Sus scrofa: one gene and its partners. The protein of the gene in region 5 interacts with the protein of the main gene of each other region in a pairwise test. Links are inferred from orthologs where the notes say so. Each region holds a gene or a part of one and is shown on either strand. Other genes may lie near its edges. The genes, in order: EXOSC8, HMMR, RANBP3, BEND3, MORN4, SSX2IP and SEPT6.

Region 1 (4,398 bases), on a different chromosome or scaffold from region 5:
ACTACATGATCCACAGTTGGTTGAATCCTTGATGCAGAACCCGAGATATGGAGTACCCATTGTAAAATTATACTTGGATTTTCAACTGTGTGAGGATTGCCACCCCTAATCCCCTCGTTGTTTAAAGGCCAACAGTACCATTTTAGGAATTATTCATGGAGTTCCCGTCCTGGAGCAGTGGTTAACGAATCCGACTAGGAACCAGGAGGTTGCGGGTTCGGTCCCTGCCCTTGCTCAGTGGGTTAACGATCCGGTGTTGCCGTGAGCTGTGGTGTAGGTTGCAGACGCGGCTCGGATCCCATGTTGCTGTGGCTCTGGCATAGGCTGGTGGCTAAGGCTCCGACTCGACCCCTAGCCTGGGAACCTCCATATGCCGTGGGAGCGGCCCAACGAAATAGCAAAGACAAAAAAAAAAAAGAATTATTCCTTGAATTTGAGTTAATCATTTATTGTTCAGTCACAGGACTGTTACACAGATTAAAATCTCTTGACAAAATCATTGTAATCCCTTAAACGTGGTACAATTTGTCTGAAATACTGTTTAAATGGCTCAGGGGCTAAAACTTGGGCATGTCATATAGGTATAATGAGAAAATTCTATGTTTGCAATAGAAGATTTAATAAATTTAAGATATATGAGAAAACCATATCTTAAAATTTTTTCTTTTTTCTTTTGTCTTTTTTGTCTTTTTAGGGCCACACTCATGGCATATGGAGGTTCCCAGGCTGGGGGTCCAATCGGAGCTGTAGCCACTGGCCTACGCCACAGCCACAGCAATGCAGGATCCAAGCCGCCCATCTACGACCTACACACAGCTTCAGACAACACTGGATCCTTAACCCACTGAGTGAGGCCAGGGTGGAACCGAAACCTCATGGTTCCTAGTCGGATTCATTTCCACTGTACCATGATGGGAACTCCCACATCTCAAGATTTTTTTAAAGGAAGGGGCGAAACACTACAGTTACTTTAAAATTTAAAATGAACATACCAGGAGTTCCCGTCATGGCTCAGTGGTTAACGAATCTGACTAGGAACCATGAGGTTGAGGGTTCGATCCCTGGCCTTGCTCAGTGGGTTAAGGATCCAACATTGCCGTGAGCTGTGGTGTAGGTTGCAGACACGGCTCCGGTCTGGCGTAGCTGTGGCTCTGGCGTAGGCCGGCGGCTACAGCTCCGATAGACCCCTAGCCTGGGAACCTCCATATGCCGTAGGAGCGGCCCTAGAAAAAGGCAAAAAGACAAAAAAAATTTAAAAATAATAAAATGAACATACCAGTTGAGAGAATGATGCATTTAAAACTTAACAAGTAAAAATTTACTAGTATAAAAAAACAAGAAAAATTCTATTTTCAGAACTGAAGCAACCTCAACACTGTATTTTAGAACTCAAAATATCCTCACCTACATTGACAGTTGTGGTTCTGAATTCACCAAGTTCTCTTCCATCAGGTCGGCAGTTCTCTTTCTAAATAAATACACAAAAGTAGATTACATACATGTGTATTTTACACGCACCAGGAAATACACATTAAACTTCAACTCAAGTAAATCTGGATTACTTGAAAACTGTCTTTAACAATTGAGGCATAACTGACATTTAACATTAATTTCGCTATACAACATATGACTTATTTGTATTTATGAAAAAAGCATACATCATTATCAAAAGGCATAACATGTACATAACCACCTTTACTTACTAAAAATCTCCTGTAATACTCCAGAGGTTCCACAGTTCTGAAACATATAAATATTAAGATAAAGAATCTTAATATGAATTCAGAAACTTGGCTAAAATCTTAAGAGTGTGGTGATGGAGCAGAAATCTCCAAAATTGGTAACTAAGTTTCTTAAGTTCTAATGTTTATGTTGCCACATGTTACTGATTATAAAAAGCAGATACCTTGCCACAGCAATCACACTCAAGTGCGGTCCTTAATTCTGCCTTAAACAAGTAGAAAGTTGGAGCCCAAGACCCTGGGGCATCTTTAAAGAGAATTAATCCAAGTGTGAAAATAACATCACTCTCCTCTGAAGCAGGGATTCTCCGTGAATGGTAAAATTTACATATTTATTTTTCACTACCCATTCCGCCACTGAAATTCAGCATATTCTTCAATTATGACTAGGTAGTAAACCATTATGAGCCGTACCTGCGACTTTAACAACCACAGATAGCAAATGTTTTCGTTATCACTTTGTAGTTGTCGAAGATATATGTAATACTCATGTTACTTCGAAATACTAGACTCCCCACTAAACCCTGTTTAAGAAAGTTAATTCTAAAACAGATCTATCTCACTATGCCATAAACTTGGAGTTTATATACAAATAGACAACTGTTTCAATATAATTGGTTTTCTTTGGAATTCCATTTCTTTTATCCACTTAAAACTAGACTCTGAAAAGAAAAATGTATAGGCTTCTCCAGAGTGGCACTAAAAACACCTAAAACCTTCCGAGTAAGGCACAAAAGCTTTCAAAAGTAAACTACGGAAGACTGAGAGAGAGAGAGAGCAGGGTGGCATGTGGCCCGGGCGGAACACTTTTTAGGAGATTCCCAACGTCTCCTGGGCTGCATGTCGCTACACACCAAGCCAGAGCGCTTGCAGCGCTTGCAGCGCTTGCAACGCCACACAGTCCTTCCAGCACAGCCTCACTGGGGGAGGACGCCCCCGTTCCTTTCACTACGACCCCCTCCAGTCCTCCCGCCCGTCGCCTACTTCCGTGATGGAAGGAAGTGGGCGTCCGGTGGGATGGTCTCTCGGTGAGAAAAATCCCACCTAAAGAGTAAATGAAGCTGCAATCCGCTAGGATACGAACTCCCGCCCGCCGTGCAGCCACACTCACTTGAACCCGGCCGCCATCTTCCCGCCCGCGCGCCTGCGCCTGCGCCTGCGCCTGCGCCTGCGCCTGGGTATCGCCTCACCTCTGGCCCGCGCAGCTGCTCCGCCGCGGCACTTTCAACACTGATGTTTGTTTGTGCCTTTCTGCTGCCTGGTATCTGGAAGGCAGAGTACAATGGGGGAGAGCTAAGCCAGGCGGGGCGGGGATTGTTTCCTGCATGCCTTCCCTTCGACCGCCACTAGCCAGACGCCCTTCAAGGTTTCCTTGCTTTTGGCGTGTTTTGACGAATCGGCTATTAGAGAAGTGACCAGTGTCTGTTTAGAAACTGTGGTAGTTCAAGACTCAGGAGAAAACCTACCTTACATCAGAGGATCAAGTATTTGAGTGTGGAGCATTACTCCAGTGTTTCAGCATCCTTTTCCCGCCCCCTTCTTGACTGGGCCCTGGGCTTGCCTCCTCCCAGGTAAAGTCCTCCCTGCTCCAGCACGGAAGAATCACCTAAATTTTCTGCTCGCTCCTTATCCGCACCAAGCAACCTGACCGGGCTCCAAAGGAGCAGTTTTGTTGTAGACTGTGTCATGGTTCAAGACCTACACCTCCCTCTTAGATAGGGTTGCCAGATAAAATACAGGGCATCCAACTCAATTTGAATGTCAGATAAAGAGTAGTTTGTTACTGTGGGTACAAGAAAAAATTTTCACTTGATTAGTTGCTACCAGAAGCTGGGGAATAACTGGGAAAGTTTTAGAAATAGTGACGATGGTTGAAAGAAATTGTAAATGCAATTAATGTCGTTGTAGTGTACACGTAAAGTGTATAGAGTGCCAAATTTTATGTTTTACATTATCAGAGTTTGAAAAAATTAATGTGTGGATTGTATGGTATGTGAGTTGTATTTTAATAATGCTGTTAAATAAAACGATTCGTTGCTTATCTGAAATTCAAATTAAATGGATATCCTGTACTTTTATTTGTTAAATCTGGCAACCCTGCTACTGTGGAACTGAGTGAGCGCCTGCCCCTCGCAAGGACTGAGCGTCTCTCACACCGCTAAGTATTCCTCGCCTCGCCGCGCGGCGGCGCTGTGGGCGGCGGGCGCCCGACCGGCGCGGCCTCTCTGCGGGCGGGAGGCGGGGCCCGCGGCTGCACTTCCGCGTGTGTGTAGGCGCTGCAGAGGGCGGGCGGCGGCGGCCTCTGGGCATGGAGTATGGTTCCGCTCCTGCTGCAGTTGGCCGTGCTTGGCGCGGGGCTGGCGGCCGCAGCCCTAATTCTGGTGAGGAGAGGGGTTGGGGACCGACGCGGGTGCGGGTGGAGACTCGGCCCCCAGGCATCCTCTCCTCCGCACTGCCGGTTCTTCGACGTGTCCCTTGAACCATGCTTCACCTAAGCTCCGACCCCAGAATTTCTTCTGCTAGAATTTTACGCATCTTTCTAACGTTCTTTATTTTTATCTTGGAGCTTTATTTCCCTGCGTGTCCAGAGCCTAGAACTTGGGTTCACTGGGCCATGCCCACCCTGTCTTCTTTCGCCCCCTAGTCTCCGGACCCT
Region 2 (3,924 bases), on a different chromosome or scaffold from region 5:
AAAGGTTTTGATAATAGGTAATTTAATAATTTGTGAGGTTTTCTAAGGACAAATAAAGAAGTATAGCAATGAACACTAAATTCAAGAGCCTCAAGGAAACTTGAAAATTAGAGAGATGTATTCATTTTGTCATGGATTCTATTCAACACTTTAGCATTGTGGTAAATGTTATTTTAGTCTTTTTTCCTATGCAACACACACACACTTCTTAGCAAACTAAAATCATATTCTACAACTGGCTTTTATCACATATTTTTCTCATATGATATTATATAAAAGGAGTTCTATGACTTTTACATATTTTATTTATTTTTGTATTAGAGTATAGTTGATTTACAGTGTTGTGTCAATTTCTGCTGTACAGCATAGGGACCTGGTCATATATATACATATATTGATACTTTTTCTCATATTATCATCCATCATGTTCTATCCCAAGAGATTAGGTATAGTTCCCTGTGCTACACAATAGGACCTCATTGCTTATTCATTCTAAATGTAATAGTTTGCACCTATGAACCCCAAACTCCCTGTCCCTCCCACTTCCTCCTCCTTTAAAGTTATATAAGTAAATACCAATGAATAAATATAAGTAAATCACCATTGTGAAAAAATCCTGACATTACAAAAAAGTGAAAATTGCCTTGATTACTCCCCATCTTAGTTTTCCCATATCAGAGATAACTATTAGTTTGGTACGCTATATTTTCTATGTATTCATATACTTTTAAAAACTTAAATGATATACACTGTGTATGTAAAGATCAGTTAAAATATGATAAAAATGGTTGCTGAGGAGTTTTGTGATGCAGTGGGTTAAAGATCTGGCATTGTCATAGCAGTGGTCCAAGCTAATGCAGTGACAACGCCAGATTCTTAACCCACTCTGCCATAAGAGAACTCCTCAAATGTTCGTATCTAACTTTAAGTGAAAAAAAAAATTATTTCCATTTCTCTAATTACTAGTAAGGTAGAGCATTTCTGATGTTTATAGGCTATATGAATTTCTATTTCTAAGAATTATCAATTTCCATCCTATGCCAAATTTTTTTTTTTTTTTTTTTTTTTTTAGGGCCACACCCGCAGCATATGGAGGTTCCCAGGCTAGGGTTCTACTTAGAGCTACAGCTGCCAGCCACGGCCACAGCCACAGCCACACAGGATCAGAGCCGTGTCTGTGACCTAAGTGTGGCACATTTCTGCTGTGCCACAAATGGGAACTCCTGCCCATTTTTCTAACGAACTATCTTTTTTTTCTCACTGATACACAAAATATTTTCTACGTAATTTGAATTTTTAAAAACTGTCAGTTTTGTTTTTTATCTAAGTAGATACTCTTTTAGGAGTTCCCGTCATGGCTCAGTGGTTAACGAATCCGACTAGGAACCATGAGGTTGCGGGTTCGATCCCTGGCCTTGCTCAGTGGGTTAAAGATCTGGCATTGCCGTGAGCTGTGGTGTAGGTTGCAGATGCAGCTCGGATCCTGCGTTGCTGTGGCTCTGGCGTAGGCTGGCAGCTACAGCTCTGATTAGACCCCTAGCCTGGGAACCTCCATATGCTGTGGGAAGTAGCCTTAGAAAAGGCAAAAAGACAAACAAACCAAAACAAAACAAAAACCAATTTCCTTACTGTGCTTCAACTCTTGCTTGACTTTTTTCACAAAATCAATAAAATAGCCCTGTGGTGAATATCAGTTAACATACCACACACGCATGATTATTTCTTCAGGATAAGACTCTAAAAATGGAATTGTTGGAGCAAAGGATACATACAATTTAATGTAAAGTTTTCCCGATACATAGGGAAATCTATGACCTAAAAGAAGCACAAAGGTTTTGTTTTTTTTTTTTTATATTATAGTCAACTACCTTCTCTTGTTGCAGAAGTGATTCAATTTGCAATACTTTTTGTTGTAGTTCTTCATGTTCTTGTCTTTCAAGGTTAGACCTTTCTTTTAAATTTTGTATTTCAGAATTTAGATTTTCATCCCGACATCTGTCCCTATTGATGAGGTCTCCTAGAAAAGGGAAAAAGTTAACAATGCTGTAATTAGATATTAACTTTGAGAAACCCAGATTCTCATAATATTCTACTATGCTACATTTACCATGTTACAGAGATCAAGTATTTCCAAAGGGGGGGGGACTCTGAAATATGTTTCATTACTCTGTGTAATATAGTATATGCTTTATATAATAAAACCCCCAAACCTAATTCCATCTATCTACCAATTTTAAATGGCCACCCAATGAGGAAGTCAAGAACTGCACATTTGTACATATTTCAATCAGGACAAGCAATATATTGAAATAGAGAACAAACAGTATAAAAGACAAAAATTCCCATACATAGAACAAAACTTTTGTTGTTTATATAATCATTTTTGAAAGCTGTTTTAACATAGTAATACCTTAAAAAATATACTGTAGGGGATAAACAGAAAGATCCTACTATATAACATAGGGAACTATATTCAAAACCTATGATAAATCATAATGGAAAAGAATGTGAAGAAGAGGGAGTTCCCGTCATGGCTCAGGATAATGAACCTGACTAATATCCATGAGGACTCGAGTTCGATCCCTGGTATCACTCAATGGGTTAAGGATCCGGCATTGCCAGTGAGCTGAGGTGTAGGTCGCAGATGCAGCTCAGATCTGGTATTGCTGTCGCTGTGGTGTAGGCCTGCAGCTATAGCTCTGATTCGACCCCTACCCTGGGAACTTCCATGAGCCTCGGGTACAGCCTTTAAAAAAAAAAAAAAAAAAAAAAAAGAAAGTATAACTGAATCACTTTGCTGTAGAGCAGAAATTAAAGGAAAAATCAGCTACACTTCAATAAAGCTAAAAAAAGAAAAGTCTTCTTAGAAAAATTATTTGAGGCAGTCCTTATTTAGAGAAAGTGAAACTATAAACAGGAGAATACCTTTTTCTTTTTCAAGCTGTTGGCATTTAGCATTCAGGTCGTCTACTTGTTTGGACAACATAGCAACATTTTCTTCAATAGACTGCTTAAGGCTTAAAATTTCATGATTCTTCTCTTTCAGATTTTCTTCTAAATGGGCAATATCTAGCTTGTATTTTTCCACTTGATCTGACGCACAACTGCATTAAAACAAATTATGTTGAAGAGCATATCTACCTAAGCACAGGGAACATGAACTAAAAAAGTGATGGAAATGATGTATTCATTATACTTCAACAAATAAGGTCCAATTTAAAACTATTCATATTACCTTATCTCTTCAATATATTCTAAGAGTTTTTCTGTTTCAGATTTTTCATCCATTTTTTCTTTCTCTATTGAAACACTAAAAAAATACGATTATTAATACATACAATAATCACACATAAAGCACACTCTGTACTATTTACCATTGTCTCAGACAGGCAGACTCCAGAGTCCAAACTCCTTTTTTTTTTTTTGGTCTTTTGTCTTTTTTAGGGCTGCACCAGCGGCATATGGAGGTTCCCAGGCTAGGGGTCTAATCAGAGCTGTAGACACCGGCCTACGGTGCAGCCACAGCAACCCAGGATCCGAGCCGAATCTGCGACCTACAACCACAGTTCACTGCAACACTGGATCCTTAACCCACTGAGTGAGGCCAGGGATTGAACCCCCAAACTCACGGTTCCTAGTCGGATTCGTTAACCACTGAGCCATGATGGAAAATCCGAGTCCAAACTCTTAACCATTAATATGAGCTCTTTCGAGTTGACAATTTAATACATGTGAATAGAAGACTCATTTTTTTTTTTTCTTATTCTTTGGTTGCCCTATGGCATAGGGAGTTCCTGGGACAGGGATCAGCTCTGAGCCACGGTTGTGAGCTATGCTGCAGCTGCTACAATGCCGAATCCCTAACCCACTGTGACTGGCCAGGGATGGAACCTGAGTCCTAGTGTTCAAGAGATAGACCCGATT
Region 3 (3,924 bases), on a different chromosome or scaffold from region 5:
AGCAAATCCAGACACCTTAGCAGAGGCCAGCTCGGACCCTGCTCAGAGCGGCTGATGGCCCATTGGCTCAGCCAGGCCCTGAGAAGCCACACAGGCAGTGCGCGCTCCCTGCCCCACTGCGGACAGACCTCAAGTGCTGGCACCTCATCAGATGGACTTCTCCGGGCGGGGTTGTCAGGTGAGGCCAATGTCACTGCCCCTGTGCAGTCTGCCGGGACACTGACCCCGTTGGTGCCGGTGCTCGGGACTGTGGGGAGAAAAAAGATAGTGGGTACCTCGGAGGGTAGCTCTGGACCACCTTCCAAGCTCCCTCCTACCATTTGGCCAACGGTATAATGTCTCCTTTTTTAAGGAAATGATCTGGCATCACGACTAAAAGTCACAAATTCTTAGGTTAAAAGAAACTCTAAACTAAAACCTCACAAAAGTGAGACTCCCATACCCCCCCCTTTTTTTCCTTTTAGGGCCACACCCACGGCACATGGAAGTTCCCAGGCTAGGGGTCAAATTAGAGCTATAGCTGCCAGCCTATACCACAGTCACAGCCACACCAACACGGGATCCGAGCCACGTGTGCAACCTACACTACAGCTCACGGCAAGGCCAAATCCATAACCCACTGAGCTAGGCCAAGGATCAAACCCACATCCTGAAGACACTATGTCGGGTTCTCAACCTGCTGAGCCACAATGGGAACTCCAAGAATTCCTTATTGTTTATTCCACAAAGAACCATGTGGCTTTTCTGTGTATTTAGAAATGATACGGTTAGGAGGAAAAAAAGAAAAAAAAAGAAAATATATTTGGGGGAGAATTATGAGTTTTACAAAACACATTTTACTAATAAGTCCTTATTCTATGCAGTTTCCTATTTAATAGTTGAAATTATGTGACACACACAACTTTAAATCTGGCCTTGACTATTTAGCATCAGACCAAAAAAAATTCCCACATAATAAAAACTCTTCAGAAACAGTAACTATTTTTCTAGGCAGGATGTTGCACTCCTCCTGATAAAGAGCTCTTGAACAGGAGAGAAAGATTAAGAGGAAGAGAATAGCTTATTAGTATTTAAATAAAAAATAAGGATTAACGGAAAACCACAGCCTGTGTGGATATAACGAAAACATGGTTTCAGAGCTCAGTCTCCAGGTTGGCAGGTGAGGTGAGAAAGCACATCTCATCAACCATCTGCTTTCTCACACACACAGGGCTGAGTTTTGCCTGTGAACACGTAGGGACAAATCTGGAGTCTGAGCTCAGCGAGGTGCTGCTCTCTCTCGGGAAGCCAGGGTGCGCTCGGAGCATGCCCCTGAGCACTGCAGGGAGTGGGTGGAACTGCCTGTCTTCAGTGCTCACGGGGACTTGAGGGATTGTCCCCGGTGCTCTTTACTTCCTGTGCATTCAGCAGAGCGGGCCAAAGCCACCCATGTGAAACAGAGTTCTCCCTGCCAGGAGCCCAGGGGCCAGGGCGAGTGACTCACCGGTCTGTGAGAGTGCCTTTGGCTGAGGAGCTTGTAACACTGCTGGGCGAAGCACGCTCCGCTGCTGCTCCTTGGGCTTCTGGCTCGGCAGACCTGGGAACAGAGAGTGGCTGGCTTGCCTCGGGCCCTTGGACCATGTGGCCAAGGGGAGATGCAACACCACCCCGCCTCACTGGCTCTCAGGCACTTTATAGAAAAGTTAACCCCAGTAACCACTTGATGTCAGGGGAGCACATTAAAACAAACCCAAGATACTTACTTTACAGCTCGACATAAAAATCCTAGCTTTTGTTATTTTTATATGTGATTAAATGAAACCCCCACACAACCAATCATGTCTTCAAATTAATCCAGTGAGCACAGTAATGCTATGAGGGAGCCAAGGGGCAGCTATCCAAGTGGAGGCCTCAAGGGTCAAGTGCAGATGGTGAGGGGAAGGCAGCAAAGGCACAGCTGACCAGTCAGTTTAGGACTCTGCCTGGGGTGCAGACAGGGCCCCTTGCACCTGCTTCTCAAAATGCCACGTTGAGAAAATCCCTCGGCCAAACTTATGGGGCAGAGACCACAAGACACTTCAGGCCCTGCAGGGGCTTCCCGCTGCATCAGATGTGCCTAATGGCACCATCGCTGAGCCCCACTCACTAGCAGCCACTGCATCTTGGACACCCTAATCAAGGTTAGAGTTGCAGCATGCTGTGGCCAGAACACTCTGGAGAGAGCCTGACAAACTGAGCTACTACCGGGCACAGAGCCCAGATGACCCACGCCAAGTCACGCCTGCTCCCCTGTGGCCGCCTACTTAGGGCAGCAGGCTCACAGGCAGGAGAACCTTCCTGGTCTGACAGGCTCTTCCCAGTGCTCCCGTGTCAGGAAGTGAGCAGAGGCCAGAGCGCACAGACAAAAGAGGCTGCAAAGGTGGCGAGAAAGCCACTCCACGCTCCTCCTCAGAGGAGGACACCTACCTGCACTGGGTGCCTGGCCGTGGATCAGTGTTGGCGGCTTCAACCGGAATCCACTGCTCTTTTCCTCTACAAGCATAAGATGAAAGATAAAAAGCAGGCCTGCCTGGGGTGGGGCAACAAAGCTGGGAGGGAACAGGAGCAGAAGAGTACTCAGGTCTGGATCAGTGACCATGGCGCTGGAGAACTAGGGAAAATACTTCCGACTTAAAACAGCAAAGCAGAAGCCCAACCAATCCCCTAGTCTGTACAGCAGCCCAGGGAGGAGGCAGAGGGCTGCAGGCAGCACTGGCTCTGGGGAAAACTGCTGGCAACAGAAGACTGGAGGGCGAGTGCAGGGCTGGTTAAGCCATGGGCACCTACCCAGCTGCCTACCAGGGGCTGAGAGGTGGAGACTGTGCTGCCCTTGCGGGTCCAGCGGAATGTCAGGGAGCCAGAGTAACGGTCCCTGGGACCCGGCTCCCTTTCCAGGAGGACATGGCCGCAGTCAGGAAAAGCCTCTGTCCTACCAGCAGATGTCTGGAAGATGAGATGCGTTTTCTGTGGTGAAAGATCAAAGGTGGCAGAGAGCAGGCTTGCTCTCTCTCCAGATGTGTGTGGGGAGCTTCACCTTGTCACGAAGAAAGCACTGGAAGGCCCAGGAGGAGGAGGAGGCAGGCTTTCCTGCAGGACTGACGGGGAACAGAGCTGACAAATATAGGGGCTCCTGGGGAGCTCAGGGCATGGTTTTCAGCTCAGCCACTGGGGCACACAGATCCTTTAATCCTTGTGTCGTGATGACCCTGCCCATTGCAGGAGGAGGGGAGAGGGGTCGTCTAATGAAATCCCTGACCAGAAGGACCAGCACAAAAAGCCCCGTGTTTCCAAGAGGACAGGTTTCTACTGAGAAGAGCACAAGGACAGCAGCACTTTGGGCCCCAAAGGTAGCCTTGCCTTTGTGCCTAAGGTCCAACCCATGAGGAAAAAACCCTTGTCAGTTGCAGGGAACAAGATTAAACACAAACATCAGTTGTGTGTTTTCACACACGAGCAGTGAACAATCCAAAAGTGAAGTTAAGAAAACAATTCCATTTACAATAGCACCAAAGAGAAAAAAAAAAAAAACAAAAACAAAACCTGGGAATAAATTTAACAAACGAAAACTATAAAACATGTTGGAAGAAATGTAAAGGCTTAATAGAAAGATACCCCAAAAGGTCCCACAGTGCATGATTTCATTTATATGAAATGTCCAGAGCAGGCGAATCCATGGAGACAGAAAGTGGACTCACGGTTGCCAGAAGACAAAGTGGGGAGTGACTGCTTGAGGGATTGGGTCTCTTTTTGGAGTGACAAGAACATTCTAAAATATATTATGGTGATGGCTGCACAATTCTGTGGATATATAAGAAACCCTTCAATCATACACAAAAACATCACCACAAGCACACCTTGTCAATCCAAATTTTCGGGTATGAAACAAAACCAAGTCAGAATTCCCAA
Region 4 (3,924 bases), on a different chromosome or scaffold from region 5:
TCTAGGAATCTACTTAAGGTGTACACTCTGTGAAATGCTGTAGGCTTTCCTTAACAGTCCTTGCTGTCAACAAGCTCCTGCTTTGCCTGTAGAGAAAGCAAAACAAAGAACTCAAAAGCAGCCGAATGGTGAAGACTCCCCTAACCCTAATAGAGAATTCAGACACAGACAAGACTTCCAGTTGAAGACACCTTCTAGAAACTTAAGCCAAAGCTGGGAGAGCTGCAATGAAAGCTTCTCGTGCCCAAAGCATTAGCAGCTGCCCGCGTCGTCCCAGTAGAGAGATCCGGCATCTCATCAGAGGGCTGGAGCCTGAGCAAACCCTCACCTCGGGAATCAGCCGCCGCCGCTTCACGCTCGGAACCGGGTCGGGCGGGCCGTCGCCGCCGCCGCTGCCGCTGGGCTGCTTCCTCTTGCTAGAGTCCTGGAGGGCAGTGAAGACGCCGTCCAGAGGGTGCTTCTCGGAGGACCTGGAATTCACCGAGCAGTCCAGGGCAGCATCTTCGGCTTCTGTCTCCACTTTCACAGTGTTATTTTTCAGAACTGTGGCAGAGAGGAAAGAGGGCTCATCAGCGCCGAGATGAGCAGGGTCTCCAGCGGCAGGCTGTATGCAGGCCGCCCTCTGATACAATCACTCAGCAAACAATGTCTGAGTAACCATCACAAACTGCCTTTCCAACCAAGCAATTTGTATCTGGGCACACTAGTGCTATACAATGAAATCATACTCCAAGATCGTTTTGTTCAAAACAGGTTTTAAAGCCTTTTCCTTGGGGGGGTGGGGGGGGGACATGGAAGAAGAGAAGCAAACACTATTCTTTTAAATGATGCTTTTAAAAAATTCCCTGGGGGTCTAGTGGCTAGGATGCGGGCTCTCACTGCTGCTGCCCTGGGTCCACTCAACCCCTGGTCTGGGAACTGAGATCCCACATCAAGCCAGCTGCATGCTGTGGCCAATAAATAAGTAAATAAATAAATATTAAATAAAAAATAAATTAAAAGTAACTCTAGGAGTTCCTTCATGGCTCAGCAGGTTAAGGATCCAGCATTGTTACTGCTATGGCTCTGGTTATAGCTGTACAGAGGGTTAGAGCCTGGCTGGGGAACTTCAGCATGCTGGCCAAAAAAAAAGAAAGAAAAGAAAGAAAGAAACTCTGTAAAGATACACAAAATAAAATCGGTGTGTGGTGGGGGATGGGACTCAGGAGTGAGAGGAGACTTTTCCTTGACTTTCCATCATACATCTTTTAATATTTTGAACGATGGGACTGTATAGCCTAATAAAAGTATTAAGTTAAAATATTTTTAAAGGGTTTTTTTACCTTCTTCTACATCTTCACTGAATTCAGTTGCGTTCATCTTCTATTCCACTAAATGAAAAGACAAAGACAAAGTCTTGATTTATTGTTTATTTGTAAATTTACCTACCCATGAGAAAAACCCTTGCCCTCCCAACCCTGGCTCTGGGTAAGAGAAGGTTAAACCGATATGGCTCTGCGACATCAAGGAAAACTGCATCCTCTTGTTCGCAGTTGCTCAGATGCGGCCAGGCCTCCTGTATGCCTGCTGGGAGGGCTTTTCCAAGACTATGAGGGCAGAACGCATCCTAAAACATCAACTGAGAGCCACTTCCCAAAAAAGCAAACATATTGGAAAAAATCAAGTCTTATGAAAGACCCCAGTTTGGATGATCTGTTACTCCCTGTCGTGTAAATTCTAGCCATAAAATGAAAAGGCTGACTAAGGGTGGAGCCTGTGGACCCCATGATCTAAGCTGAGGTCTTAGGACTCCAGGTGGTCCAAAAAAGACCTGTGCTGTCTATGACACACACTAGTAGCCACTAGTCACATGTGGCTCCCATGGACTCCGAATGGAGATGTGCTGTAAGATACATGCTGAATTTCAAAGACTCAGCACAGCATCAAGAATGTAAAAATCTCATTAGTAAATTTTTATATTGACTATGTGTTAAAATGATAATACTTCAGATTTACTGGGCTAAACTAAATACTTTATTAAAATTAATTTCACTTCTTAATGTGGCTGCTAGAAAACTTTAATCTACATATGTGGCATATTTTTATTAGATGGTGCTGGTCTAGCCCTTTCTTCAGCAACAATGAGGAGAAAGAGGCACTGTGGGTTCCCAGATCTCCTGAGCGCTACACGATCTGGTCCAAACCACCCTTCTTATTGATGAGGGAATGAGGCAGGAGAGGTGGCCTGTATCAGCTGCAAGGTCTGGGGCAGAGCAGCCCCTCACTCTCACTGCCCCAGTGAAATGGAACAGACACTGTGATTAAAAGCACCGCTACAACTTTGAGATTCCCCTAATTACATAACAGTGTGTCCATAAATAGGATAAAGTATAAAAGAGGTCCTTACTTTGGAAAAGACTAGAGCGTTTATTATTTACATTGAGGAGATGCGGTTCCCACAAAGGTAAAGCTGCTTGCAAATTACTGAGTGCCCATTCTGGTTAAGGGTCAGAGGGAAGCAGGCTAAGGAGTAGCTTTAGGAAATTTCTATAAGGAAGAGAAACGTCATCTACAAAGTTCAATAAACTATTCACCCAGCAGCCGTGGAATGGTATGTGGTCCTGCTTCAGATGGACAGATTTGGGGAGGGCAGGAGAGTATGTCTAGGTAATCTGAGCACATGATAATAACTGCAAAAACCACTAATATAGCAACAATAATATAGTGCCATGATGTATGGCAGGCACTATTCTCAGTTATCACAATAACTTCATGATAGGCACAATTCTTTTCATCCCCGTATTACTAACTTTCCAAGGAAATTTAAGATTTATGTGAAATTGAAATTACAATAAAATGAATCCCTACTTACCAAACTATCTCTTATTTGAAAACCATCCCATGCAGGTGAGATGGAGGGCGAATAAATAGTAAATTCAAGAATCCGAGAACTATTTTACCAATGGTGAATTTTAGCAAAGAGAATTTCCACTGTATTCCAAGGAAATAATCCTCATGTTTAGGTGTCTCTGAGGGGAGGGCGGCACGGGCACGTAGGTGGGCATGAGAACTCTTGTCAGGCAGAAAGTCTGGCCCATGCTGGGCAGAAACTCAGGCCTGATTCCCAGGCCAGCCAAGGGGCCTCTCAAGGAAATGATCTGAGCCTCCAACCCTGTGAGGGCCGGAGCTGCGCCCGCCCTGGGAGACCCTGCCTCCCCTGCACATAACCCATCCCCAACAGGGAGGCTCAGGAGGAATGAGCACTGAGTTGCTGGAGAAGGTATAGGGTACAAAACAAACTACATTCTGGAGAGAAGTGGTGGGAAAGGTAGGAGACAGCGGATGGTTTATTTGGGGAGAAAGGGGATCCACAAAGACTCTGGCTGAACAGAAAGCATGAAAAGGATGAGCGAATGCTACAAGAAAAGCCAGGAGTAGGTGAAGAAACAACCCGCGAGAAAAGCATGCACATGGCCGTCTAACACTCCATTTCCGTTTCCGGAAGCGGCGCGGGACCAGGGCGCAGGCGAGGGGCAGGTGAGCCGAAGCCTAAGTGCTGAACCACCACCATGTGACACTAACGTGGGCAATTTAGCACCTGAATTCTGATCTTCCCCTGACTCTCGCGTCAGAAAATGATGAAGGAGGGGTACACCCCTGAGCCACCTGCGGGTGGGAAGAGAGGCCAGAGAAGGCTGAGCAAGCTCACGGGAAGAGGTGAGAAGTGGGGGTGGCGACGGCGGCAGCTTCGTGGACGTTCAGGACACCACAGTGCATCTCCTTTGGAAGACATTTCCAATTTCATTTATAGGCCAGTTGACAGATGGTAGCTTAGCAGAGAAGTAACCTGGAATGCAGTGTGGTGGGCCCCTTCCCTCCTAGCCAGCAAAGAAGCCACAGCTCCTTGGGAAGCCGGGGAATTTCCCATTTGCAAGTCTGGAAAAC
Region 5 (4,477 bases):
GAGGATGTGGGTTTGATTCCTGGCCTTGCTCAGTGGGTTAAGGCTCTGGCATGGCTGTGACTGTGAGCTGTGGCCTAGGTCGAAGTTGAGGCTGGGATCATGCGTTGCTGTAGCATAGGCTGGCAGCTACAGCTCCGATTGGATCCCTAGCCTGGGAACTTCCATATGCTGCAGGTGCAGCCCTTAAAAAAGCAAAAAACAAAACAAAACAAAAAACCCTATTCGACAGACTAGGAAATCCCAATTCAGCAAAATAATTTGCTTACTCTCTTTGTAGGCTTGTCTTCTCTTAAAAATTAATTATAGGAGTTCCCGTTGTGGATCAGCAGAAACGAATCCGACTAGGATCCATGGATGTAGGTTTGAACCCTGGCCTCTCTCAGTGAGTCTGGGGTTCAGTGTTGCAGGTGAATTGTGGTGAGGGTCCAGAAGTGGCTCGGATCCGGCATTACTGTGCCTACAGCGTAGGCTGGCAGCTGCAGCTCTGATTCCACCCCTCGCCTGAAAACTTCCATATGCCACCGGTGCAGCTCTAAAAAAACAAAAAAACAAAACAAAACACCACAATTAATTATTGTCTTGAATTTTTCCGTGTGCATGAATATTTTCTTCTCCATAGCTAGGCAGTAAATCCTAGGAGAGCGGTAATCATTTCTATTCCAGCCTGGCAGGACCTGGCATCACGCTGCATTCGCATTGCTCGGTAAGTAAACATATGGATAAACCGGTTGGTGTGCATGGTTATTGGGAGGATTTGCTCCAATCTTGGAGCAAACTGTATTTTAAATACAAAGGATATGAGTAATGACACCACCACCATAAATCCCTATAATGAGTGCAAAAAAAAGTGCCCTGATATCACAGTGCTGGCACAGGGTTGACACTCATTAAACTGTAGTTGCCCCGTCTTGCGCTTTACAGTTTACAAAACTGCACCTCAAAAGCCGATTTGGGGTTCTGTCCTTCAGCTCCGCGGAGGTGCCATTAACAACTGTGCAGATCTAAGTGGGATCCGAGCCGCTGGAGTTGGTCACTGTTACGTCCGACACAGGTCTGGTTTTGTTTGGTTGGGGGTTAACATTTCGGCTAGGGTGCCTCTAGGCAGGCAAGACCTGAGTTCTATGGGTGGATGAGGTGGGACCTTAGGTCAGCCCCACCCTTCTTTAGGATGTTCCGCCAGGGGCTCCCTAGACACTCCGCCCCACACAAAGATGGCGCGGAGCCCGGGCTGGACCAATGGAAAGTGGCGTTGCTCCCAGTTGCCTAGGTAACAGCCAATGGGCCGCGGGAATTGTGCTCGGTGCGGCTGCAGGGGATGGCGGCGTCAAGTCGGGCGGGCACTGGAGGTGGTGGCGGAGAGGCAGGTGGCAGGGGCGAGCCCGGCGGAGCGGAGGTCCGGGCCTCTGGAGCCCCGCGTCGGGGCGAGACGGTCATCCCGGAAGGTTGAGCCCAGGTTGGCTGGCCGCGCGGGTGGGAGGGAGTCAGGGGAATGTGGTCGGGGAGGAAGGCACTGAGGGGCCCATCCTGAGATGACAGCGGCTGTGAAGCGCGGCTCCATCCTGGAGTGGGGGCGGTGGCTCTTCGAGGGTCCCAAACCTGGGCCTCCCGTCTCCACCGCGGGGTCCGAGGCCCGAGAGAGCCCACGGCGTCCAGGATGGTGAGTGGGGTAGGTGGGGGCTATATGAGGAGGGGATGCCATACCTGTGTGAGTGGAAGACCCCGCCCGCACGGGAGTGCTGACCCAGGGTGGAGAGAAGGAGCGGCGCTGGAAGGCAAGAACCGGATGGGAGAAGAAATGGGGAGGTGGACGGGGAATTGTTGCCTTGTTGCAATCTAGGGCTTTGTTGGCTCCGGCCCGCCTCTGTCACACTCTGGTGGAGAGACGTCCCCAACACACGTCGAGGCTTGGAAAATGGGATGCTTCAATCAGGTAGTTGATGGTGCTATCCCTACTGTCTGGCAACTCCAAATTGTTTTGGTACCAGCGGGAGTCATTCGGCTCTGTTAGAACCCGGCCCAGGCATTTTACTTTCTCATGAAATAGAATAGTGTCTATTCTACTGTCCCGGCAGTCCTTCTCATCCAAAGACGTCTGGGGTTTTTTATTTGGTTTGTTTTGTTTTGACCTTTCTGTTGTCAGGATTTTCTTCCCACTTTCTTCCATCAAACTGTCCCACTGTATTCCCGCTGACTTTTATCTAGTGGCCATACATTTGTTTACTTTTCCAGTCCAAGGAAGAATGAGTGAAAGAGACTCACAGACTCATAACAAGGACAGTTATTTTAGGCTCACTTAAAATACTTTAAAAAGAACACTTGACCTCTTGTTCTGGGTTCCTTACAAGCCTGATCTTTGTTCATTAAAGCCTTCAGTTTCTTCTTTTTAGGATTCTAAAAGCCTAAGAGCTTTTATAATTGAAAGAACTTTGACAAGATTGTCATACCCTGAGGAGGGTGGCTTTAAGGGGACACTGTGAAGGTATATGTAGATAGTAGATGCCTCCAAAAAATATTCTTAAATTGAAAATCTTTTCCCCTTTATGTTAGGTTTTTTAATCCTCTGAATTTGGAAACAGGTTACCGGGAATGCATAAATGTTTTTTAACCAGTTTGATTTCTGAAATAAAAAAAAAAAAGGCAAATGGAATGAAAACAAAAGGTCTCTTTACTGTCTTTGAGTTCTATTTGGAAATGTCTGGGGCAGGAGAACATAAAGATGGTATGGATATAGTCTGTTGTGTAGACTGATAGTGTGTTGGCTTACAGGGATAAAATAGTTATTTTCTTTTAGATAAATGTTTGGATTGATCCTTTGCAATCTGTCTATCAAGAGAGAGAAAGGGTGGACATCTGTCTAGAAGCATGAATTGTCTTGGCTTTGTAACTAGATTCCACATGTATATCTGAAGCCTAAACTCCTAGGCCATCTCTTCTCTTTGAAAAAAAAAAGGTGTTTTTTGTTGTTGTTGTTCTTTTTTTTACTGCACCAGCGGCATGCAAAAGTTCCAGGGCTAGGGATCAAACCAGTGCCACAGTAGCCACCTGAACCATGGCAGTGGTGTGTTGCTGGATCCCCAACCCACCGAGCCAGTAGGGAACTCCTTTGAAAAGATTTTTTGAGTGGCTGATAAAAATACTGACTTGCATCCCTTATTCAATTACTGGGTTTTTAAAAAATCTTCATCAGCACAGCTACATATATATATATATATATATATATATATAGTCTTTTTGCCTTTTCTAGGGCCGCTTCTGCAGCATATGGAGGTTCCCAGGCTAGGAGTTGAATTGGAGCTGTAGCCACTGGCCTACACCAGAGCCACAGCAACGTGGGATCCGAGCCGCATCTGCAACCCACACCACAGCTCACAGCAACACCGGATCCTTAACCCACTGAGCAAGGGCAGGGATCGAACCTGCAACCTCATGGTTCCTAGTCGGAGTTGTTAACCACTGCGCCATGAAGGGAACTCCACAGCTATACTTTTTTAAACTAGATTTGTCTTAGTGATCATGGTTACTAATGAAGTTCTTTTTTTGGGTCAGTGGCTACACAGCTATTAATTAGCATGGCTAATTACAAAAGTCATAAATGAAAACCCTGACGCTGTCTCAGGCAATGCCAATATCAATTATTTGGACGCACATTGACGTTTCTAGTCTAATGTGTTCCACCGAGGCCTGAGACCCATGGAGTATACATGTGTTTCCTTTCATTAGCACATCTGATTGTGCTCTTGGGAATGGATATCATTTTGACAAGCAAGTGTTGAAGTTTTTGTTTTGTTTGTTTTGTTTTTTGTCTTTTTTTTTAGGGCCGCACCTGCGGCATATGGAGGTTCCCAGGGAAGGGGTCTATTCAGAGCCGTAGCCACCGGCCTACTCCAGAGCCACAGCAACGCCAGGTCTTAGCTGCATCTTGGACCTACACCACAACTCACGGCAATGCTGGATTCTTAACCCACTGAGGGAGGCCAGGGATTGAATGTGCACCTTCATGGTTCCTAGTTGGATTCATTTCCGCTGCACCACGACAGGAACTCCGCAAGTGTTGAAGTTTGCTGTATTTCCCTGGAACAAAAAGAAATGGGAATTTGCCGATGCGCTTTTGAAAACACATGAGAGGATGGTGGCAGGGTTAGGTTCAGAGATGATGTTCCGGTTACAATTGCTATATAGCCAGTTACTCCACACTCAGCTGCTTAAAACGGCCACGTGATGCTCACAGATTCTTTGGGTCAGGAATTTGGAGAGAACCTCATGAGGATGTTCTCTCTCTGCTCCATGATACTTCAGCTGGGGTACAGGCTCAGCAACTGGGGGCCGGAATCATCCTGAGGCATCCTTCACTCACTCCTGGTGCCTGGGGTAGGATGATTCACAGAGGGGTTTGCCAACGGGGAGCACCAACACATGTGGCTTTTTAAGTGGCTCGGCCTCCTTTGAGCAAGGTAGCCTCAGGAGAGTCAGACCTCTT
Region 6 (4,449 bases), on a different chromosome or scaffold from region 5:
AAAATTCTAATTCATATCATATCATTTTTCTGCTTTGGTCCCTCTCACTCAGTGTTAAAGAAAAAATTCTTTCCATAACTACACGTTTCTTATGACCTGCCCTCCATCTCAGTACCTCTCTGAACTCACACCCTACAATTCTCTCACTTATTCAGCCATTGCCAGCTCACTGTTCCTCATTCTTCCCAGTCACTTTCCTGCCTCAGGACCTTTGCACTATTCCCTCTGCTTGAATGTTCTTTCCCTTAACATCTGTATTACTTATCTCTCCCCTTCCACATCTAACCAAAGTCACCTTCTTTGTGAGGACCAACCTCACAAATATTATTTAAAATTGGAAAAACACCCCTCCAGCTTTCTAAATCTTTCTTACTTTGCTCTTATAATAATCTTCAACCATAATACTTACTTACTTACTTTGTTAATTTTCTTTTTTGGCCTATTTCCCTTGCCTAGAGTGTCAGCCAAGCAGGGAGAGAGGGAGAGAGCATTTTTCTGATTGTTCACTGATATATATATCTCCAGTGTCTAAAAGAGTGCTTGGTGCTTAGTGATTAGTGGCAGATAATTCTTGGTAAATAAATGAATGTGACTTCTAATGGATGTTTTATATTTCAAATAAATCACCTTGGCAGCCTATATACATGTTCCCATAATGCTGCTCAAAAGTATCACATCGGTAGACACTGACTTTTTGAAAAGAATGCTTTCCTTGAGAAGAAGTTATTCAGAGCCAAATCTGATGAACACATTCTGGAGTTGTGTTAAAATGCCAAACCTGTGTTTTCCAACTAAGTTACTGCATTTGAGTGGATAGGGAAAGGTCAAAAAACAAGATGTGTTTGATGTCTAAGACAGTAAACTGACTGTGAACATAATTTCAAAGAAGAATTCTAAAAATATGCACCAGTAACAAGTCGCAGGAAAAGCACACGTGTATTTTAAAACTCTATATGCTTCTGTGTATGTGTGAATGAATCCCTTCCAAACTTTCTGCAGACTTCCATTCTTGCCTCTATTAGATCAGTCTTTCAAAAATGAAACTCAGACCCTCTCAGCCCCCTCTCCCAATTAAGAATCTTTCATGCCTCTCATTGTGTTTAGCATGAAACTGAACTTCCTATCCACTCATGCATGCATGACCTGGCGCCTATAGCCCTCTTAAAACTCTCACTTTTGTACACAAGTGCCAGCCATGGCAGCTCCCTTTTTTCTCCTTTGGTTCTTTGAACGTGCTATTCAGTCTGCCTGGAAGGCTCTGATTCTTTTTCATCATTCAGATCCCATGTCTATAGGTAAAGCAGCCTTTCCAGGTCTGGTTTTATTGGTTTAATCGTTTGCTTGCTGCTCGTCTGTCTCCTCCCACCAGAATGTAAGCCCCATGAAGGTAGGGACTTTGCTGGTCATGTTTGCCTCTGTAGTCCCAGCCCCTCTGTGCCTGCACTACAGGGTTGCTAACCAAACTGTTAATGGTAAGATAGCTTAATATTCTATTAACTTCTGTAATACATTAATTTTTACAAGTTTATATTTTTTAAAATATTTTTATTTTAAGCTCTGATGTTAATATATGTAATAAGTTAATAATCCAACAACCTTTTTTATTAGGGCCTATATGCTGTAGCAGATAAGATGGACTGAATCGCTGCTACTTAATGGCCTCACTTTCATTAACTCTCTGATGTGGCCAGGACTGTCTCTCCAGGGGTGGCAGGGAGGATAAACAAAATCTTGCTGGAATCTGTACTGGGAATTTTTTATTTTTTATTTATTTATTTTTTTGTCTTTTTGCCTTTTCTCGAGCCGCTCCCGGGCATATGGAGGTTCCCAGGCTAGGGGTCCAGTTGGAGCTGTAGCCACCAGCCTACACCAGAGCCACAGCAACGTGGGATCCAAGCCGCGTCTGTGACCTACATCACAGCTCACGGCAACGCCGGATCCTTAACCCGCTGAGCAAGACCAGGGATCGAACCCGGAACCTCATGGTTCCTAGTCGGATTCGTTAACCACTGCACCACAACGGAACTCCCTGTACTGGGAACTTTCATACCTATGGCCTCATTTTATCCACAAGATCAATTTAACCCTGTTCATAATTAACGGCAAAATAGTACAGGACCGATTCCAAGGACAGCAAAACTTCAGAGACGTTGCTGTGGGCTGGAGTGGTCAGGGATCACTCTGCGGAGGAGAGGGACCTGGATAGGGCCTAGGGGCCATTTTCACTCTGCAAGCCTGCCCGTAGGCAGAGGCCAGATCGCTAGCTCTTTCCTGGTCTGAAAGGAGGTCTTACATTTAGCTGGGCTTGGCTCTTCTAGCTAGCTGAGTGAATCTCTGCATCTTGCTGCATGTCCAAAGACAATTCATTTCTAGCCAGTCCCTTTGGATTTGGGTCAGTAGTAGTTCAGCTTGAAATAACAGTTCTGTGCCATTTATAAAGTGCTGGCTGAGTTTGCAGAAAAAGCAGACCACCTCGACCCAAGTAAAGATTCTCAGAAAAGGAAACCATTCCTCATCATTACCTGCCCTGCCACCCTGCCCTACCTGACCTGCCATGCCGCAACACCGTACACAAACACACAGAACAGCAGACAAAATGCCTGATCATTTTCTAGGTGTTCCACTCTTAGTGCTTTAGATTTTTGTCTGGTCTGCTGCGTGTTTTGCCCTACCTTTTGGGAAAGGTTTTGTTGTTGTTGTTTTGTTTTTGTTTGTCTTGGTTTGTTTTTTTTGAGACGCATGATTTTTACCAGACTCTAGCGCTTTGGTTTCCAACTCTCCATTTGTCCCAAGATTCATTAATTTTAAAATATGTCATGTAAAACTTGATTGTGTGGAAATCACTCCAACAGTTAATAAGGTGCTATCATAGAAACGTGATCACGTACCCAACCAAGGTAGTTCTCAAACCCTGTATTTCCAAGATAAAAGCATACCTCCTTTAAGAAATGCAATGAACACACATTTAAGACACACACACACAGAAACTTACCTTGCTGACTACAGTGGCCTCTAAACCCTTCTCACCCAGCAATTAGACTCAGTCTGCTCTTCTAAGCTTGCAAATTTAAACTCTGAGCATTGAGTAGACAACAAAAGTCCCTCCCAGGAAGTATGGGGACTATAAATGACCCAAACTGTTTTTTTAGTTATACTGAAATAAATTTAAAAACCACGGAGCACAAAGATCCAGCATTCACTTGAATAGTTCTGATATAATTCTGCACCAAAACACGCATTTATTTCACACAGTCTTAGTTTCCCTGCTGTTATTTGAAAATTTCCTCAACAGTTTAATGCATATTTATTGAATGATTTAAGACCCTGCTCACAACAGAAACTCAGAGTTTCCCAGGAAAACAGAATAGTGACAGTCTGACATTGTTGTGAAGAGGTACAGTGCACTAGTGCCCTTGAGTCCCATGGCCTGGGCTGAAATGCCAGATCAGCTACCTGGGTCCATGTAACGTCCCTAAGCTCCCAAGCCCACTTGGGGCTTTCTTCCCCTGGGCATTCTGTTTAGTAAACAATAAAGCTTCAGGGTTTAGGTTGTTTGATGATCCCAACCAAAAACATCCTGGGAGCACATTGAAAAAAGAGCTCTCATGAAGTGACCTAAGGGTGTGATATTTCATTTTATTGGTACAAATATACTCACGTGGCACATGTGGAAACAGTCTGGTGAGCAAAAAAGTCAGTGAAAAATGAAGTATAGGAGATTTTTACAAAGGACTGATTGAATGGAATAATTAAATGGAAGCAAGGAAAATGTGGGACCGTGTCTATGCTTTGAATTATAAATATGCATCTCAGATATTAATGGTTTTCTAAATTATATTTTCCTTCTTTACCAATTTAGGCCAGAAAAATTAAGATACATTGATGAAGACAGTTTTGCACAAAATGACTTACTGTTTTGAAATTTTCAGGCCCTAGCACTATGTCTTCTGGCTAGTACTTGCTTTATATTATAGATATATTCCAGCAAAAGTCATGTCTAAATAATGTATTTAGCAATCAAATCATAATCTAAATGTACTAGTGAAACTAGATGTTTAAAATTATGATAAATCTATGTCCATGGTGAATGACACCTTTGTAAAACAATCTCCTATCATCATCTCCGTTCTATAAGATTATATTTTAATATGTTGGATTTTCTTTAAAAGAGTTTTACCTGTCATTACTTAAAACCCAGACTTTTATGTGAAGAGTTTTTGGGAATATACATTTCAGTACAGAAGGCTGAAGTGTTGCAATAAAAAAAATAGTTCTTATCTTTTTATTCTGCAACTGGCAATTCAATTTTACCCTAGTTATACATTTCCATTTATTTCATTATTTATATTTCACACTAGGCAAATTTCTTTTTCTGTGTTCTCAGTGGAGAAGAAATCTGGAGGCTTGATTCCTGATAGATTTTATTCCTTGCTTTGTAAACCTTAATCA
Region 7 (3,924 bases), on a different chromosome or scaffold from region 5:
GAAGGGGTGAGAAATCGGGCCCAGGCTACAGCCTTCAGCAGCAGCGCTTAAACTCTGCTGGCTGCGGCCGTGAGAACCAAGGTGGGGAGGGGAGGGGGTATCCGGGCATGGAGAGGTGCACGACCTCAGACTCAGGACAGGCGAGAAGGCCTTTGAGTCACCGGGGGGAAGAGGGTGCCCAGAGGCTTCTGCCACCCTCTCTCTGGCCTTCTTTTCATTCATCTCTTTCTTGTCACTTTGCAGCTTCTCGTTGTGTCCTTTCTTTCTACTCTCTCACGATCCTTTTGCTTTCCCCCACTTTCCTCCTACCTGGAGTTTGCAGGGCTTTCCCAAGAGGCCGAGCAGGAGGGCTGGGCCTCTGGGGCCACATACAGCCCTGCCTACTCTCAGCTCCCCAAACTCAGGGAATCCCAAGGTCCCATGGGAACACCAGGTATAGGGCCTATAGGCCCACAGCTGGCCTCTGTCACTGCCCTGAGGGGACGAGCAGGAGGAGGAAGCCCTCACCCCAGAGCAGCCTGCTACTTACTTTTTCTTCTCTTTGTCTCTTTTCAGCGTCTGTGAGCCTCCAGCCTGGGAGCCCTGGGACTGGAGCAGCTCGGCCGCCGTCTTTCTCTGTTTGAAAGCGTTCACTTCGTCATCCAGGGATTTCTTCTTATCCTCCAGCTTCTTTTTCTCGTCCTGGTGTAGTTTCTTCAGACGGTCAAACTTCTCATGCAGCTGGCAGGGAAGCACAGGGATTTGGGGCGGGGGCCACCCCCATGAGCAGATCCCAGCTGAGCCGAGCCCGGGGTGGGGGGGACAAGCAGGCCTGTGACCTGCAAGACCCTGGGACTTGAGACATTTCCGCCAGAGACAGCTATGACTGCATCAAAGAGCACCATGTTCTGGATAGTTCTCTTGGCATTTTACCTCCTCATTTCTGCTCCTGAATATGGTCAGGGAAATGCACATTCTGCTTAATCAAGCAGTTTATTTATTTAAAAGGGTCCCCATAGGAGTTCCCGCTTTGGTGCAGTGGGTTAAGAATCAGATTGCAGCAGCTCGGGTTGTGCAGGTTGGTCCCCGACCCAACATGGAGGGTTAAAGGATCCAGTGGTGCTGCAGCTGCAACTCAGATTCAACCCCTGACCCGGGAACTTCCATGTGCTAAGGGTGCATATAAATAAAAAAAAAAAGAGTCCCATACAGTAATAACTACATCGATTATAATCTAGAACATCTATCAAGTGCTTACTATAGGCCAGGAACTGACTTTTATAAGCACTTTATATGTATTAACTCATTAATCATCACAACAACCCTATGAGGTAGGTTTTCTGTTATTAGCTGCATTTTATGGGAAACAGAGGTAGGAGAGAAGTTAAGGAATTCGCCCAAGGCCAACCATTCTTTAGATGACCACAGACTGAAATCGCTCAAGGTGAAAGGGGCCCCTGCCTTTCCTGATCCCCTCCAATCACCAAGCATCATCAGGGATTGCAGAGAAAACTCCAGCAATGCCGAAGCTGTGCAAAGAAAACACTTGTCCTTGGACACAGGAGGAGATAAAAGAAGGAGACAGTGGGATGGGGCAGAAACCTCAGCTTTGATCACGGGGAAGCTTAACCAGCTCTCAACAGGGCCAGAGACCCAAACGAGAAGAGCTAGAATATTCTAGCATGCCACTGCGATAAGTGGATCAGGGAGCCAGGGGTATGAATGGTCATAAACTAGAATGGGATAAACTCCCCCGAGTAGAAAGAGCAGAGCAAGCATCATTTCACTTTCTTTTGACGATTTAGGAGGGAATTGAGGGTTTGCATTGCTCTGGGCACATCACGAAGGAGGTCGGGTGTCCCACAGGCATCTGGGACTGTCACAGAGTAAGTGGAGATGGACGGCAGACCTGCCGTGCAAACTGGCTTTTCTTGGCCGCGTGGGGCAGGGGAGGAGTGGAGCTCTGCAGCTCAGCTGCTTTTACCTGGCTTTTGTTCACCGGCCTTTCATTCATCTGTTTATCTTTGAGATGCCCTCCCCTCTCTTCCTCAAAGTACTGGGGGATATTTTTCTTTTGAAAAGTGAAACTGAAATGAAGTCAATACCCTTGCCACGGGCTTTGCCAATAACACTGGAAGAGTCACAGCAGATTAAAATAGGAAGAGACTTGGGAAGTAATTAAGTGCTTCCTTTCTTTGTGGGTTTCGAGGCCCAGCGAGCTGAAGCAGTTGCCAACATGACCAAAACTGCAGCTGACGCCAATTTATCTGGCGGCAGTGGGTGAATCAGTAGTGGGACCTGAGAGGCAAGGTGATGGTTAGAGGGCTATCTGCACTCTATCAGTCATGGCTTAAGTAATGAAAGCTCCAGATAGACCATCAAGCCTCCGTTTAAAAACTCGCCCGAGCTGCACAGATGTTTCTTTAACACTAGAATGAAATGGAACAGAATATTCAAGTGCATGGGGAAATGCACCAGCTGTCACTGGTTTAGGATTCAGCAAGGTACCTGGGACTCCTGGGGACCTCTTTTCCCACGGCCGTCAGAGCACATAGGATGGGGCAGACCAGGCAAGAAATCAATCAACTATCCCTACTGAGCTCCGACCTCCCTGAAAGGGGGAAAACAATCAGCTTGCCCTTGACCTCCAGGGGCTATGTCAGATCTTGACTCTTTTTGGGGCGGAGAGGGGCGCACCCAAGGTATCTGGAAGTTCCCAGGTCAGGATTCGAACCCACCCATGCTGCCGTTGTGACCTACTCCACAGCTGCAGCAACGCTGGCTCCTTGGCCTGCTGCACCGTACGGGCACTTCCAGGTCTTGACTCTCAAGCGGTGGTGGCCGACAAGACCTTTTTGCGGTGATGGAAATGTTCCTATCGGGTAGCCACTAGTTGCATGAGGGTTGAGCATTTGAAATGTGGCCAATGCAACTGGTAAACTGAGTTTTAAATCTTATTTAACTTCAATTCATTTAAATTTAAATGGTCACACAGGGTAGCCGCTACCATATGGGACAGTGCGGCTCTATAGAATTAAATGACAGAGAAGGAAAAAACCTCTGGGCCTTGGGGAATGAGGGATCAAGAAGATCCGGATCTTGCAGCTGCCTCTGTGCCAGCTAAGGCTGGGCTACAGATACTGTGTGCCCCATCCCTGCCCAGAGGCTGCTTAAGACTCCCCCGCTCCTGTCTCGGGGCAGAAATCTCTGTCTTGCCCAAGTTCAGCTGCCTTTTTCTTCCCACCACGCACACAGGCTCACATTTACCTCTTTCTCTGCCTCTTTAAGTTCAGCTTCTTTCTCTTTGACTCTCTGGACGAACATCTGTCTCATCTCTTCTTCCTTTTTCTGGAGCTCTCCTAGGAACTCATTCCTTTTGGCCTCATACGTCTCCTGTAAACTGCACACGTGGTCGGGTTATTTCCCCTGCTTTTGGAATGGCTCCTGTTCGATCAAAACAAGCCCCCCGTGATCCTCGCTGGGTTTCCCCATTCTCCCTCCCTCAATTCTGGGAGACACACAAAAGCAGAACCACAAAGGTGTGGCCACCTGGCTTGGCACACGTGATAGCATGGTCATGGGGTGCTGGGGGAGAGGAATGGGGCAGCCCTGGGAAACCAGAGAGCTGTTTGGAATTGGGAGAGGCTTAGCACATCTGTTTCTATACCCTGATTTAACAGATAAGGAAACAGGCTCAGAGAAGTGAAGTGACCAGCTGAAGATCACACAGCTAGCGGCAGAGCTGGGACCAGATGCTGGGTCTCTTGTCTCATAATCTAGGTCCTTTCACTGCACTATGCTGCCAGGTCCTGGCTCTGAAACGGATCCCATTAGTGAATGATTTCAACAGGCACGTGATGAGATTCCCCCATGTGCTGGACACAGGATCAGGTGACAGCACGCTAGTCACGCAATATCTAGAGCCATGAAGGAACTCACAGTCTA

Evidence for each region.
Region 1: the proteins of MORN4 (region 5) and EXOSC8 interact in binary tests that used the Homo sapiens proteins (3 or more experiments, as listed by UniProt). The two-hybrid records come from large-scale screens. The link is inferred for Sus scrofa from reciprocal best matches to the Homo sapiens genes MORN4 and EXOSC8.
Region 2: the proteins of MORN4 (region 5) and HMMR interact in binary tests that used the Homo sapiens proteins (3 or more experiments, as listed by UniProt). The two-hybrid records come from large-scale screens. The link is inferred for Sus scrofa from reciprocal best matches to the Homo sapiens genes MORN4 and HMMR.
Region 3: the proteins of MORN4 (region 5) and RANBP3 interact in a two-hybrid assay, tested with the Homo sapiens proteins (2 studies listed by BioGRID). The two-hybrid records come from large-scale screens. The link is inferred for Sus scrofa from reciprocal best matches to the Homo sapiens genes MORN4 and RANBP3.
Region 4: the proteins of MORN4 (region 5) and BEND3 interact in binary tests that used the Homo sapiens proteins (3 or more experiments, as listed by UniProt). The two-hybrid records come from large-scale screens. The link is inferred for Sus scrofa from reciprocal best matches to the Homo sapiens genes MORN4 and BEND3.
Region 6: the proteins of MORN4 (region 5) and SSX2IP interact in binary tests that used the Homo sapiens proteins (3 or more experiments, as listed by UniProt). The two-hybrid records come from large-scale screens. The link is inferred for Sus scrofa from reciprocal best matches to the Homo sapiens genes MORN4 and SSX2IP.
Region 7: the proteins of MORN4 (region 5) and SEPT6 interact in binary tests that used the Homo sapiens proteins (3 or more experiments, as listed by UniProt). The two-hybrid records come from large-scale screens. The link is inferred for Sus scrofa from reciprocal best matches to the Homo sapiens genes MORN4 and SEPTIN6.

The regions. Positions count from the first base shown.
Region 1 is NC_010453.5:12,815,602-12,819,999, reverse strand, and holds the start of EXOSC8 (exosome complex component RRP43), read right to left. Parts: upstream 2,920-4,398; 5' UTR 2,871-2,919; coding exon 2,854-2,870; intron 1,741-2,853; coding exon 1,704-1,740; intron 1,469-1,703; coding exon 1,405-1,468; intron 1-1,404. Other genes in the region: ALG5 (dolichyl-phosphate beta-glucosyltransferase), read left to right, coding at 4,058-4,123. UniProt on the Homo sapiens protein: Non-catalytic component of the RNA exosome complex which has 3'->5' exoribonuclease activity and participates in a multitude of cellular RNA processing and degradation events.
Region 2 is NC_010458.4:60,311,229-60,315,152, forward strand, and holds part of HMMR (hyaluronan mediated motility receptor), read right to left. Parts: intron 3,311-3,924; coding exon 3,236-3,310; intron 3,105-3,235; coding exon 2,926-3,104; intron 2,018-2,925; coding exon 1,869-2,017; intron 1-1,868. UniProt on the Homo sapiens protein: Receptor for hyaluronic acid (HA). Involved in cell motility. When hyaluronan binds to HMMR, the phosphorylation of a number of proteins, including PTK2/FAK1 occurs.
Region 3 is NC_010444.4:73,107,784-73,111,707, reverse strand, and holds part of RANBP3 (ran-binding protein 3), read right to left. Parts: intron 2,512-3,924; coding exon 2,446-2,511; intron 1,577-2,445; coding exon 1,484-1,576; intron 248-1,483; coding exon 129-247; intron 1-128. UniProt on the Homo sapiens protein: Acts as a cofactor for XPO1/CRM1-mediated nuclear export, perhaps as export complex scaffolding protein. Bound to XPO1/CRM1, stabilizes the XPO1/CRM1-cargo interaction. In the absence of Ran-bound GTP prevents binding of XPO1/CRM1 to the nuclear pore complex.
Region 4 is NC_010443.5:73,203,896-73,207,819, forward strand, and holds part of BEND3 (BEN domain-containing protein 3), read right to left. Parts: intron 1,371-3,924; 5' UTR 1,360-1,370; coding exon 1,323-1,359; intron 544-1,322; coding exon 329-543; intron 1-328. UniProt on the Homo sapiens protein: Transcriptional repressor which associates with the NoRC (nucleolar remodeling complex) complex and plays a key role in repressing rDNA transcription.
Region 5 is NC_010456.5:108,996,432-109,000,908, reverse strand, and holds the start of MORN4 (MORN repeat-containing protein 4), read left to right. Parts: upstream 1-1,298; 5' UTR 1,299-1,453; intron 1,454-1,472; exon of another isoform or gene 1,473-1,657; intron 1,658-1,837; 5' UTR 1,838-1,917; coding exon 1,918-1,930; intron 1,931-4,477. UniProt on the Homo sapiens protein: Plays a role in promoting axonal degeneration following neuronal injury by toxic insult or trauma.
Region 6 is NC_010448.4:129,047,750-129,052,198, reverse strand, and holds the start of SSX2IP (afadin- and alpha-actinin-binding protein), read right to left. Parts: upstream 3,014-4,449; 5' UTR 2,993-3,013; intron 1-2,992. UniProt on the Homo sapiens protein: Belongs to an adhesion system, which plays a role in the organization of homotypic, interneuronal and heterotypic cell-cell adherens junctions (AJs).
Region 7 is NC_010461.5:98,043,241-98,047,164, forward strand, and holds part of SEPT6 (septin-6), read right to left. Parts: intron 3,380-3,924; coding exon 3,247-3,379; intron 721-3,246; coding exon 530-720; intron 1-529. UniProt on the Homo sapiens protein: Filament-forming cytoskeletal GTPase. Required for normal organization of the actin cytoskeleton. Involved in cytokinesis. May play a role in HCV RNA replication.